2 linked regions of the Arabidopsis thaliana genome follow. The protein of the gene in region 2 binds, or shares a complex with, the protein of the main gene of each other region. Each region holds a gene or a part of one and is shown on either strand. Other genes may lie near its edges.

Evidence for each region.
Region 1: CRK (region 2) and ARP2 share a complex: the UniProt entries of both Arabidopsis thaliana proteins name them as parts of the arp2/3 complex.

What each region holds. Positions count from the first base shown.
Region 1 is NC_003074.8:9,951,841-9,957,843, forward strand, and holds ARP2 (actin related protein 2), read right to left. Parts: upstream 4,143-6,003; 5' UTR 3,945-4,142; coding exon 3,903-3,944; intron 3,614-3,902; coding exon 3,503-3,613; intron 3,385-3,502; coding exon 3,250-3,384; intron 3,162-3,249; coding exon 3,090-3,161; intron 3,011-3,089; coding exon 2,932-3,010; intron 2,811-2,931; coding exon 2,761-2,810; intron 2,680-2,760; coding exon 2,576-2,679; intron 2,488-2,575; coding exon 2,419-2,487; intron 2,321-2,418; coding exon 2,257-2,320; intron 1,853-2,256; coding exon 1,784-1,852; intron 1,689-1,783; coding exon 1,605-1,688; intron 1,509-1,604; coding exon 1,450-1,508; intron 1,365-1,449; coding exon 1,298-1,364; intron 1,210-1,297; coding exon 1,126-1,209; intron 1,028-1,125; coding exon 947-1,027; 3' UTR 639-946; downstream 1-638. Other genes in the region: TCP20 (TEOSINTE BRANCHED 1, cycloidea, PCF (TCP)-domain family protein 20), read right to left, coding at 5,970-6,003. UniProt on the Arabidopsis thaliana protein: Functions as ATP-binding component of the Arp2/3 complex which is involved in regulation of actin polymerization and together with an activating nucleation-promoting factor (NPF) mediates the formation of branched actin networks.
Region 2 is NC_003075.7:733,695-737,519, forward strand, and holds CRK (ARP2/3 complex 16 kDa subunit (p16-Arc)), read left to right. Parts: upstream 1-1,958; 5' UTR 1,959-2,081; coding exon 2,082-2,170; intron 2,171-2,252; coding exon 2,253-2,325; intron 2,326-2,395; coding exon 2,396-2,496; intron 2,497-2,620; coding exon 2,621-2,756; 3' UTR 2,757-3,271; downstream 3,272-3,825. Other genes in the region: AT4G01703 (uncharacterized protein), read right to left, coding at 558-671. UniProt on the Arabidopsis thaliana protein: Functions as a component of the Arp2/3 complex which is involved in regulation of actin polymerization and together with an activating nucleation-promoting factor (NPF) mediates the formation of branched actin networks.

The sequences.
Region 1 (6,003 bases), on a different chromosome or scaffold from region 2:
GAAAAAACAAGCGCGAAGAGGAAATTACAGAGAGAATCAATCAGAAGAAGGAGATTGTTGCGATGATGCTAACAATTAGCAGTGAAGGAGCCAACGAAAATCACGGTTAATAAAATGGCGCCGTTTTCCGATAATGTCTCCAAAACTCGCCGGAGAAGTTTGAGCAGTTTGGAAATAATCTTCGTCGTGGTTAGATTTGGATGAACCACCGGGTGATTTCTCTATAACTTTATGGGCCTATATCTCTTTATTGGGCCAACGCTCATAATGTTTTATATGTCGTTGAGGTAGTTTAACAGTCACCAACACCAACGTTTCTGACACGGTGTTGCCGTTATTGGGCCAAAGCCCATATTAAGACCTCAAAAAGTTTTTACAGTTTTTTATTTTGGGATTGTAAATCAGTTTTTTTTGTTTCTAGTTAATTTAAAAGTTTTCAAATCCTTTTTTACTCATGGCAGGTTAGGTAATCATTTTGTCTTTGATCTAGCTTGAAGCTGCTGTACTTAGACTAGCTGCAGAACATGCAGTAGAAGGAAGCTGGTTCCATCAATTCAGAGTTGTGGCAATCTTTTGGGTTTTAACAGAAAACAATAGGGATCTACCTTGTGTGGCAAGAAATAGGGTTCCTTTTCAAAATTACAAATAATCTTTCACTGTTTTGACTCTGTTTGCTTACTCAAGAATTAAGATATATGCATTTCGTCTCTTCTCGACCTTTTGGCTTTGGTTATTACACAATATATTAGTCTCAACATTATTAGTTAATACACGTTTTTCTGTATATCCCACCAATCACATGTCGAATTTTGGATCCCTAACTGCAACCAATTGTACTCAAACTTTGAAACCTAAAATACTGAATTCACAAACGGAATTAAATCATCCTGACGGTAGTAAAAAAAAGGGGTACAAGTACAAGTATGAGTTCTGCGTTTGAAAGTTATTAAGCTTGGCTCATTTTATTCAAACAATTAATTCCTTCTTCCATATAGTCCTCTCTATTGATCCAGAACTCTGGTGCGTCCTGCAACATCGAATCCAAATTCTCTTAACATCATAACACAGACTAAAATTTCATGCTTTCGTGTTAAAAGAGAGAATAGCATTGAACTTTTCTCTTACCTTCATGATTCCTGCAAGAACAGCACCTCCGAGGTATACCATGTGTTTCCTTCTCGGTGGATCTTCGATCCGCAATCTGAGTTTCTGATTGATAAGAAAAACGAAGATAAATGTTAAAAACTGAGCTAATGACTGACAGTGATCATGGCATTATCAGAATCATCTTTTTTACCTTCAAGCCATCTTTGTTTCCTTTTAGAACTGTGTCGAGATACCGATCCTGTATTTCTTTCTCAAGACTGAAACAAACAGAGAATAAAAGACAATGAAACATAAAACAATGGAACTTCTTGCTGGGTTATGATGAAGAAAAAATATACGAACCGGCTAGGTAATCCTGGGTACATGGTGCTACCTCCGCTTAAAACTATGTGTTGGTAGAGCTGTGAAAAAAGAGCAAAGGGTTTAAGACAGATAAATGATTAGTTTTGTTGGATCTTTCTTTTGAAATACCAAGCAAGCGTAAGAGTCACACGAACCATCATGCGGTTATCAATATCCATTTCTTGAATACATCGGAAAACCATGTCTGCCATTCCATCACCTTCAACATCAATGAGTTCCTGAAAAAATATTTGGTTGTGATCAGCCTCGAGATTCTTGGAGGGTTGAAACTATTCCAAAAGAGAAATTAGCAGAGGACGCGATGAAGGTTTACCGGAGTAAAAAGCGCTTCAGGTGCTTGGAATCTTTCAGTGCCTACTTTGATAACCCTCCCATCTGGAAGCTGATCACAGTTCAAAAACACAACGGGTTAGTACTCTGGAAAAAAAATAATTTGGTGATAATATCAGCTTTAGAGGCTGCAACTGGCACAAGTATGAAACTTTATCGACTATCGGATGAAAAATCCCAAACACAGCGCCCAAGAACAGAGAAACGATGTCATGAAAAGAAAAGATGATAATATCATTCTTTCATTACCAAAAAGAACAAAGGAATGATGGCACGAATCTTTAAAGTTCTCTACAGGCTCAAGTTCGCCAAGAATCTGCTATCTATTTAGTTCTGATCATGAGTTTGGATTCCTATTAGCTTAACGTACACTAGTTTCTGTTTCTTGCCTCTATTTGCCATCGAAACCTTGAAAATTCACACACCTGACAGGTTCATACCAGGAGAGAGACTTACAGTATAATTCTTAACAAGGATAGTTGTCTCAAGGCCAAGCTGAGATTCTCTCTTGTAATCATAACTGCAAAAAAAGACAAAACAAATTGTGTTTATTTCCTATTCTAGTAATGCATTACTACACAGATATTAGAGGAAAGCTGAGAAGAGGTCTTTGCATGCCTTATATAGCAGAGCTTCTCTTTAATTTCCCTAACCGTCTCAAAGTCAGCTGTTTTGTTCATCGCATATCTGTTGAACAAACAGTCTTTTAGTTTAGCTAATTTAAAACATCTCAACATCATTAAAATGAATGTGAGTCTATGAATCAGTTTCTCACCCTCGTCGAGATAGTAGATCAACGAGATATGCTGTTATGTGTCTGCCAGCAACATTCATTCTTTTAGTAAGATGAGGGAACGAGTAGCCGTCAACCACCGGAACCTAAGATGTGAGGCGAAGACGGTTAACTTCTCTATTATAAGCAATATATGATCTAAAAAATTACAGAGGTTTATAGCTTACCACATGAGTAACACCATCACCAGAATCAATAACCAAACCAGTTAGCAAACCTGAAACCAAGAGTTCAACACATGAAGAAAAATATCAGGGAAGCACACATAAATGCTATTTACAGGTGACTATCTAAACACACGAAAGAAAATCTAAACCTTCAATAGTCTCCATAAGCACCTTGAGCATAGAGAGTCAAAACGGCTTGGATTTGAATGAAAACGCCAGCGAAATTGTATTTCTCAAACATTGTCTCAATCTGTTTTATAACATAAAATAAATCACTGCTCCAACAACCATCAAAGCAACTCTTAACCAAAGACTTGATAATATCTTACCATTTTTTCACGATTCTTGGACGGATTAAGAGGTGGATCCGTGAGCAATATCTTACAGTCAGATGGATTGATCTGTTAATAACAAAAAGGGTTTAAGAGTAAGTCAAGACACATGGAACCGAGACAAAAATGGCAAGAAGAAGCAGGAGAAGAAACTTACTTTCAATTCGTTATAGAAAGCATGATCCCAAACATGTTCCATATCATCCCAATTCTGCACAATACCATTGTGGACAGGATAATTTATATCCAATTGATGCCGGAGCTCAGAGCAAGTCTCCCCAACAACTATATCCTAAAATGAAACAAAACCAAAACGTATATGAATCCGAATTACGCATATCAGCTCAGTCAAAACTCAAAAGGCTAACAATGATCTGGTTTTGCTTATTTAAAGTCACATATCTACAAACCTTGACTTGTTGCTCCATGAGTGATTCTTCATACCGAAGCAATGGCCTTCCCACGACACAGGGGAAAACAGACGTTGGGAAATTCTCTCCAGCAAATCCACATTTTACATACTGAAAAATTTAATAAGAGGCTCACAATTTGTTCCCATCACAAGAAACTCAAAACTTAAGCAACCCATTATGAGATTTCTCATGTATTAGTTTTGATTTCAATAGAAACACGATCTTACACTATGCTAAGACATGAAAGTTTTCAAATTTTGCAACTTTAAGACAACTAGATCCTAAACAAACTCAAAAGTGAGATTTTTAACGAAACCCAGATAGGAATGGAATGATTGATCAGATTCAACTAAAGTTCGGAGTCTGAAACAAGAGATATCAGAGAGAAGAAGCTTACACCGGTGCCGTTGTCGCAAACGACGACGTTTTTGTTGTCCATCTTCTCCGATTTCTATAGAGACTACAGATTTTTATCGAAGTACAAAAATTTCGATTTCTTCGATTCGATCTCTCAGGGAACAAAAGAAAAAACCTGTCTTTGAATCGAAGCGAAGAATCACTCTTCTCTACTTGTTTGGTCGCGATCGAGAAAACATATTTGCTCTTCGACAAACAAAAAGCAGCTGTTTCCTCGTTTCTTTATAAGAATGCGCGTCGTTTACTCTACGTGAAAACGTCACGTAGTGCAAACGGTCAATACATAGAAAAAATTATTAAATACGTTACCCCTTTTCTCGAATTATTGAGATGGAGTTAACTTGGTTGTGGGTATTGATGGGCTATCTCAGGCCCATATTAGGTCAAACAGATAATTCTGTTTACTTGTATAACAATCTTCTAGATGATCTAAACTAAGAATTAGTAAATGATCATCATGCAATCCCTTGATCAGAGATTTCAATCACTATTAGGGTTATGTTACGAGAAAGATGTTACTAGGGTTTTGGTACGAAGTTGGGATATCAATCTTCTTCTAGGTTTTTTTGTTGTCTCTATGTTGTCTCAATACTAAAATTTATTCTACATAACATGTTGTAAATTAAGTTCCTGTCACAACATGTTATGTATCAGTCACCAATATAGTAAAAATAAGATAAGACTTTTACAGTTTCACACACACAAGTCCAATGACTTGTTCGATGTAAAATCAGCTTTCATGTTTTCACTTTTATATAGGTTAATTAGGACACACACTGTCTCTCATGCTTACTGGAACATTGCTAAGCTGCTTTATTTAGTTCTGGTAAGAACAAAACTGCATGTCTTAGACCTCAAAGTAACCACGCGTTTCATCTTCACTTCTGTATATTGAAATGGAAGAATTCGTAGACAAGTCAAGCTCCTTGCCCAATGTGTCGAAGAGAATGGAAATTAAAAGAGTAAGCAACTTAAGTCACGCTCTCATCATGAGGGAGGCTTTGGAATGGATCTATTGGAGTTGTATTTGGACCATAGTGTTGAGTTAGATCATTGCTCAAAAGGGAAAGAGAGAGCTTTGTGAATGTTTTTGAATTTTCTTCACTTGTTTTGATTGGTTGGACAAATCATAGAGATCAAGCAACTTTTTGACTCGTTAACCTCTCTCTCTCTCTCTCTCTTAGTCTCTTTCCTTAGTTCCGTCAAATTCAAGTCAAAATGAGTAAAATGATATAAACTTTTTGACTCGTTGAACAATTTATACTTATCTTTGAAAAAGCTTGCAAGGCAAAGAGTAAATGCAATACCAGCTTATTTGGTTCCCAACTGCGAAGGGTTTGTACCTAGTTCAAAACCTTCCCACAGTTAACGGCACACTCAGGGCAATAACATGAATGTAAGTAAGAGTTAAAGAATACAACGTTACCATCATTGTGAAATCCATTGCAGCTCAAAGCCACTGAATCAGAACATGCAGCGAAGTGTTTTACACTCGACTCTAAACGAAAGTCTTTAACTCATTCAGAGAGATCGAACGAAAGAGAACAATCTTTGGAGATGCAATAGAAGAATACTGAGCAAAAGAGAGCTATAAATCTTCATTCTACAAATATGTGATGGAAGACAAGTATACATTACCATTGTTGTACTATCTGAAAAAAGCCGGTTTCTTGATATTCAAAAGCAACAAAACTCAGAACAAGTAAAAACAAGCCTCTCTGCAACTTAAAGACTCCAAACAAAAAAATCTCTGGCTGTGTGTATTCAACAAACTCCACCTGCAAGTTCAAACAACAACTGCCAAAAAATTGTCACAAACACTCGGAAAAAAAGGTTTGAAGATTCCACTCTCTTGTATCATCATCCTCAAATTGAACTCACCTTGTGTTTTTGCAGAGGTTTCAATAAGTATAGATTATCACTCTCACTCAGTATATAACCTTTTCTTTTTCTTCTCCATGGTGGTACAAATTACAACAATATTATCACAAAACAAAAGCCAAAAGCTTTTTCAAATCCAGAAGATACAAAAAAAAACCCAATCCTTTTAACGACCTGAGCCTTGAGAATCATCTTTCTCA
Region 2 (3,825 bases):
TTCCTCTCCTTCTTCTTTTTTCTCATTTTTTTTCTTTCAAGAAGATTCATTCTTGATTTGGAAAATGCATGACATATATTTCAAACCAGATAAAGTGAACCATTTCAGTCTGAATTCAATTGAATAATGTTAATATGAAGACCAAGTTGAATTTTAATGTGGGGAATTAAGCTTCTTTGGAAGGTACTAACCAAATTCAAATATAAATATATTCTTTGAAAATTTGAAACATAATTCATTATGAAGTAAATATTAAATAAAACAGAAAGTGTTCCATACTGAATTATAGTTTCATTTTGAATACTATTCTATACAAAAATAAAAACAATAAAAAAAAATTGAGAGAAATATTAGCAATGAAAACAAAACTATCAAAGAATTGTTTTTGAAGTTAAAAAATATAAAATTTCAAAGTTCGAGGTCGGTGGCTAACTAACATGAAAAGCGCCGAGCAACTTGTGATATGTACGAGTTGGACCAAGTCGTGACGACTTTTTTAATAAGCTTAAGATCCAATTATTTCTCAAGAAAAACAGTAAAACGTACGCCAACATATATTAACTACGACGACAAAATTCTTGGCCTTTAAGAAAGACTAGTACACGATCAATCCCAACGATTAAACCAGCAGACGAGTAACCATATGTAGGGTACGAGTTTCTCAACCACATCTCCAACTTTTCAGTAGACGATCTAATTATGTTTAACCACTAGAAGCCGACACCATAAACATCCATCCGAGGTTATCGTCTTTCGAAGAGTTCCTAACGAGCATTCATGAAACATCATTCTCACTTCTCCTCCCACTAAACCGACTTTTTTCGGATGTTATTTCAAATTTGGTTAATTGCTAAATGATTGACCATTAATTCGACCACGTGATTACACAAAGAGACGTTTAGATCCACTACATTGGTGCGATGTGAAGTGATCACCATGCTTTAGTTTACACGTCCACTTTATATAGGTTTGGCAGTTAAAAAAAAGAAGTTTTATACATAGTTCTATCAAGTGGTCTTAGACCGAATCTTGGCAATATATTTGTTATAAGACTACCAATATCATTAATGATTAGAGAAAGTTAATGTTAAGTTTCATCAGATTCTAATTTAAAACCAATGGGTAATGATTGGATTGGTTGTGTTCCATATATACTAGTGTTAGCACTTAGCAGTCATGAGTGTGTTTACTCCATTTATAGTATACTTTCGATGTAGGATCCTAATTAGAATGATAAAGAAACATTCCAAAAGAGTATTATCAAAATGCTCTTCGTCTATCCATACAAATATAATGAGATTTGGGCAGAAACAACCATTTTGTTAACATATTAGGGTCGAGCGCAGAAAAAAATATATTTTGACCTGTGTTAATAAAATAGAATAGGTTGCGATTTTAATTAAGGAGGTTAATAAATTAAAATCGTAAAAATGATACCAAAATGGTAACAAAATCGTAAAGAAAAGTTCATTAGTATAAATATAAAAAATTCGGTCCAACAAATATTACTATTAAAAATTTATAAGAGAGATTTATAATAAAAAAAAAATTGTTATACCAAGAAAGAAAAGGAGATTCTTGTATTGTAACCCGTTTGTGTGTCTTTTTTAGTCTCAGATTTGTTTTAATTTTCTATGACTTAGGATTTGTAAGTCTTTTTTGGATTTCTAGAACCTGATCGAGGAAATTTCAATGAATATAGTGTAATTGGTTTGTTTGGATTTTGTTCCCTTTGTTTACCTTGTTTGGTATTTGGCTTCGGGAGTGTTCTTGTACTCATCGGCTTATGTCTCCGGAAGTGGTTTGTACTTGCCGGCTCTTGTATTTCAACTTGAATCCTATCGATGAAAATCCTATTGACAAAAAATGAAAAAAAAAATGAAGCTTCCATCATCCATCATTCAGTGGCAGCATAAGCATTTAAGACTACGTGCCGTTTAAGGCCAAGACAAACGGCACTCAGTTCCCTTTTGAAATGGTCAAATGGCGATTGAGTTGTTTTCCTCTCTCTCTCTCATTTTTTCAATTAAAGAAGGGAAAGAGGGGAAATCTCTGATCGGAGAGAAAGATCGAATCGAAGAATGGCAGAATTCGTTGAAGCTGATAACGCAGAAGCAATAATCGCGAGGATCGAAACCAAATCGAGGAAGATTGAAAGCCTACTCAAACAGTAATATCAGACCTTGGAGCTAAACCCTAAAGTCTTCTTTTGTTTTTGGTTTAATCCCTTATCGGTGTTTTAATGTGTGCAGGTACAAACATGTAGAAGCTTTGAAAACGGCTCTTGAAGGTTCGCCTCCGAAAACTCGCGATGAACGTTGCAAGGTCTCTCTCTTTCCGAAACCATCTTTTTTTTTTTTTTTGATTTACTGAGCCAAAAAAAACTCAACTGCAGTCGGCTAATTGGATAGTTGTGCACAGAGCTTTAATGGCCATTAAGGATATTGACGGAATGCTCAATGCTCTTGATGTCGAATATTACGACATTCTCATGAAGTAAGTGCAAAGTTGGTTTTTTTTTTTTTTGCTGTAATGCGTTTTGTAATATGTATGAATTGGAAAGCTCTATCCTCAGGCTGTCTGTGCTCTTTGATAGAATGTTTTTGCTTAAAATTCTCAGGTACTTGTACAGAGGACTTTCTACTGGGGACCGACCCACCTGCGATCAGTGCCTGAAGATTCACGAGAAACTCACTGAGAGAGCTGGTCTCGGTTGCATTCTCCGATGTCTTACTGATACCATCAACACCGTTTGATCCATCATTCCCTCTTATGTATTATTACTTGATGCCTTGATGTTTCCAATGTGCATATTCTCCTTGAGGAACCATGTCTCACATTTATCAGTTTTAGACTTGTATTTTCATTACCAAACAGTTGCTTGATAAATGATAACACAAGTCATTCCTAGAGCTCATGTGTAACATAATTCCCGGATCAGCTGAATCATAAATACGAAGACCAAGTTGTGATTAAGTAATTTTAGGGGGGTGTATTGAAACCAGAATCTTTTAGAAGATTTGGTGGAATTTGCATTCTTCTACAGACCAAATCCATTCTCGATTTTGCCGGTGAAGAACAGAGACCGAAAGCTTTTTTCATGGAAGACGAGGGGAGGAGGACAATGAGAATATGTCGCAGAGATTTTCTGTGAATCTTTTTTTAAATCAAATCGTTCAGAATAACACCTACAGGTGAGATTTTTTCATGCTTATTTTCAACTAAATTTTTTTGCCTAAGTCTCCCAGAATCAATGTTAAATGTTTTTAATGAAATTGTTTTGTTGAGTTTAGATAACAGTGGATTTAAGATGTGTTTTATAAATTCTTGAATGAATAACAGAAGATTATAGATTCTTTTGAGTGATTTTATATAAATTCCAATTTCAATAACAAAGGATTTGAGAAAAAAATTACAAATCACAAGTTGAATACAACCATTCCTGATTCACTGAATGTTCATAACTCGAAGGCCCAATATCGAACTCAGCCCATTGAAACTAAATTCATTTCTAAACTTTCAATGTAAATGCACTCGTCATACAAGAGTAAATGTTCACATAGTTAGTCATTGATTTAAACAATTTTACTCTTTAGATTTTTAAAATTTTATAGGATTGTAATAAACCAGGTTGAATTCAAATGTCAAATAGCGTTAAATAAAAGTTTAGATCTTTTTTTTTTTTTTTTTTTTTTTTATCAACGTTAGTACAAGAAGAAACAAGAGCAGCTTTTGCCAAAGCATCAGCTTGATCAACGTTTCCTTATAAAAGACAAAAGCAATTAAGTTTTTACTTTTACAGTCTTTTTGATCAAATTAAATGAG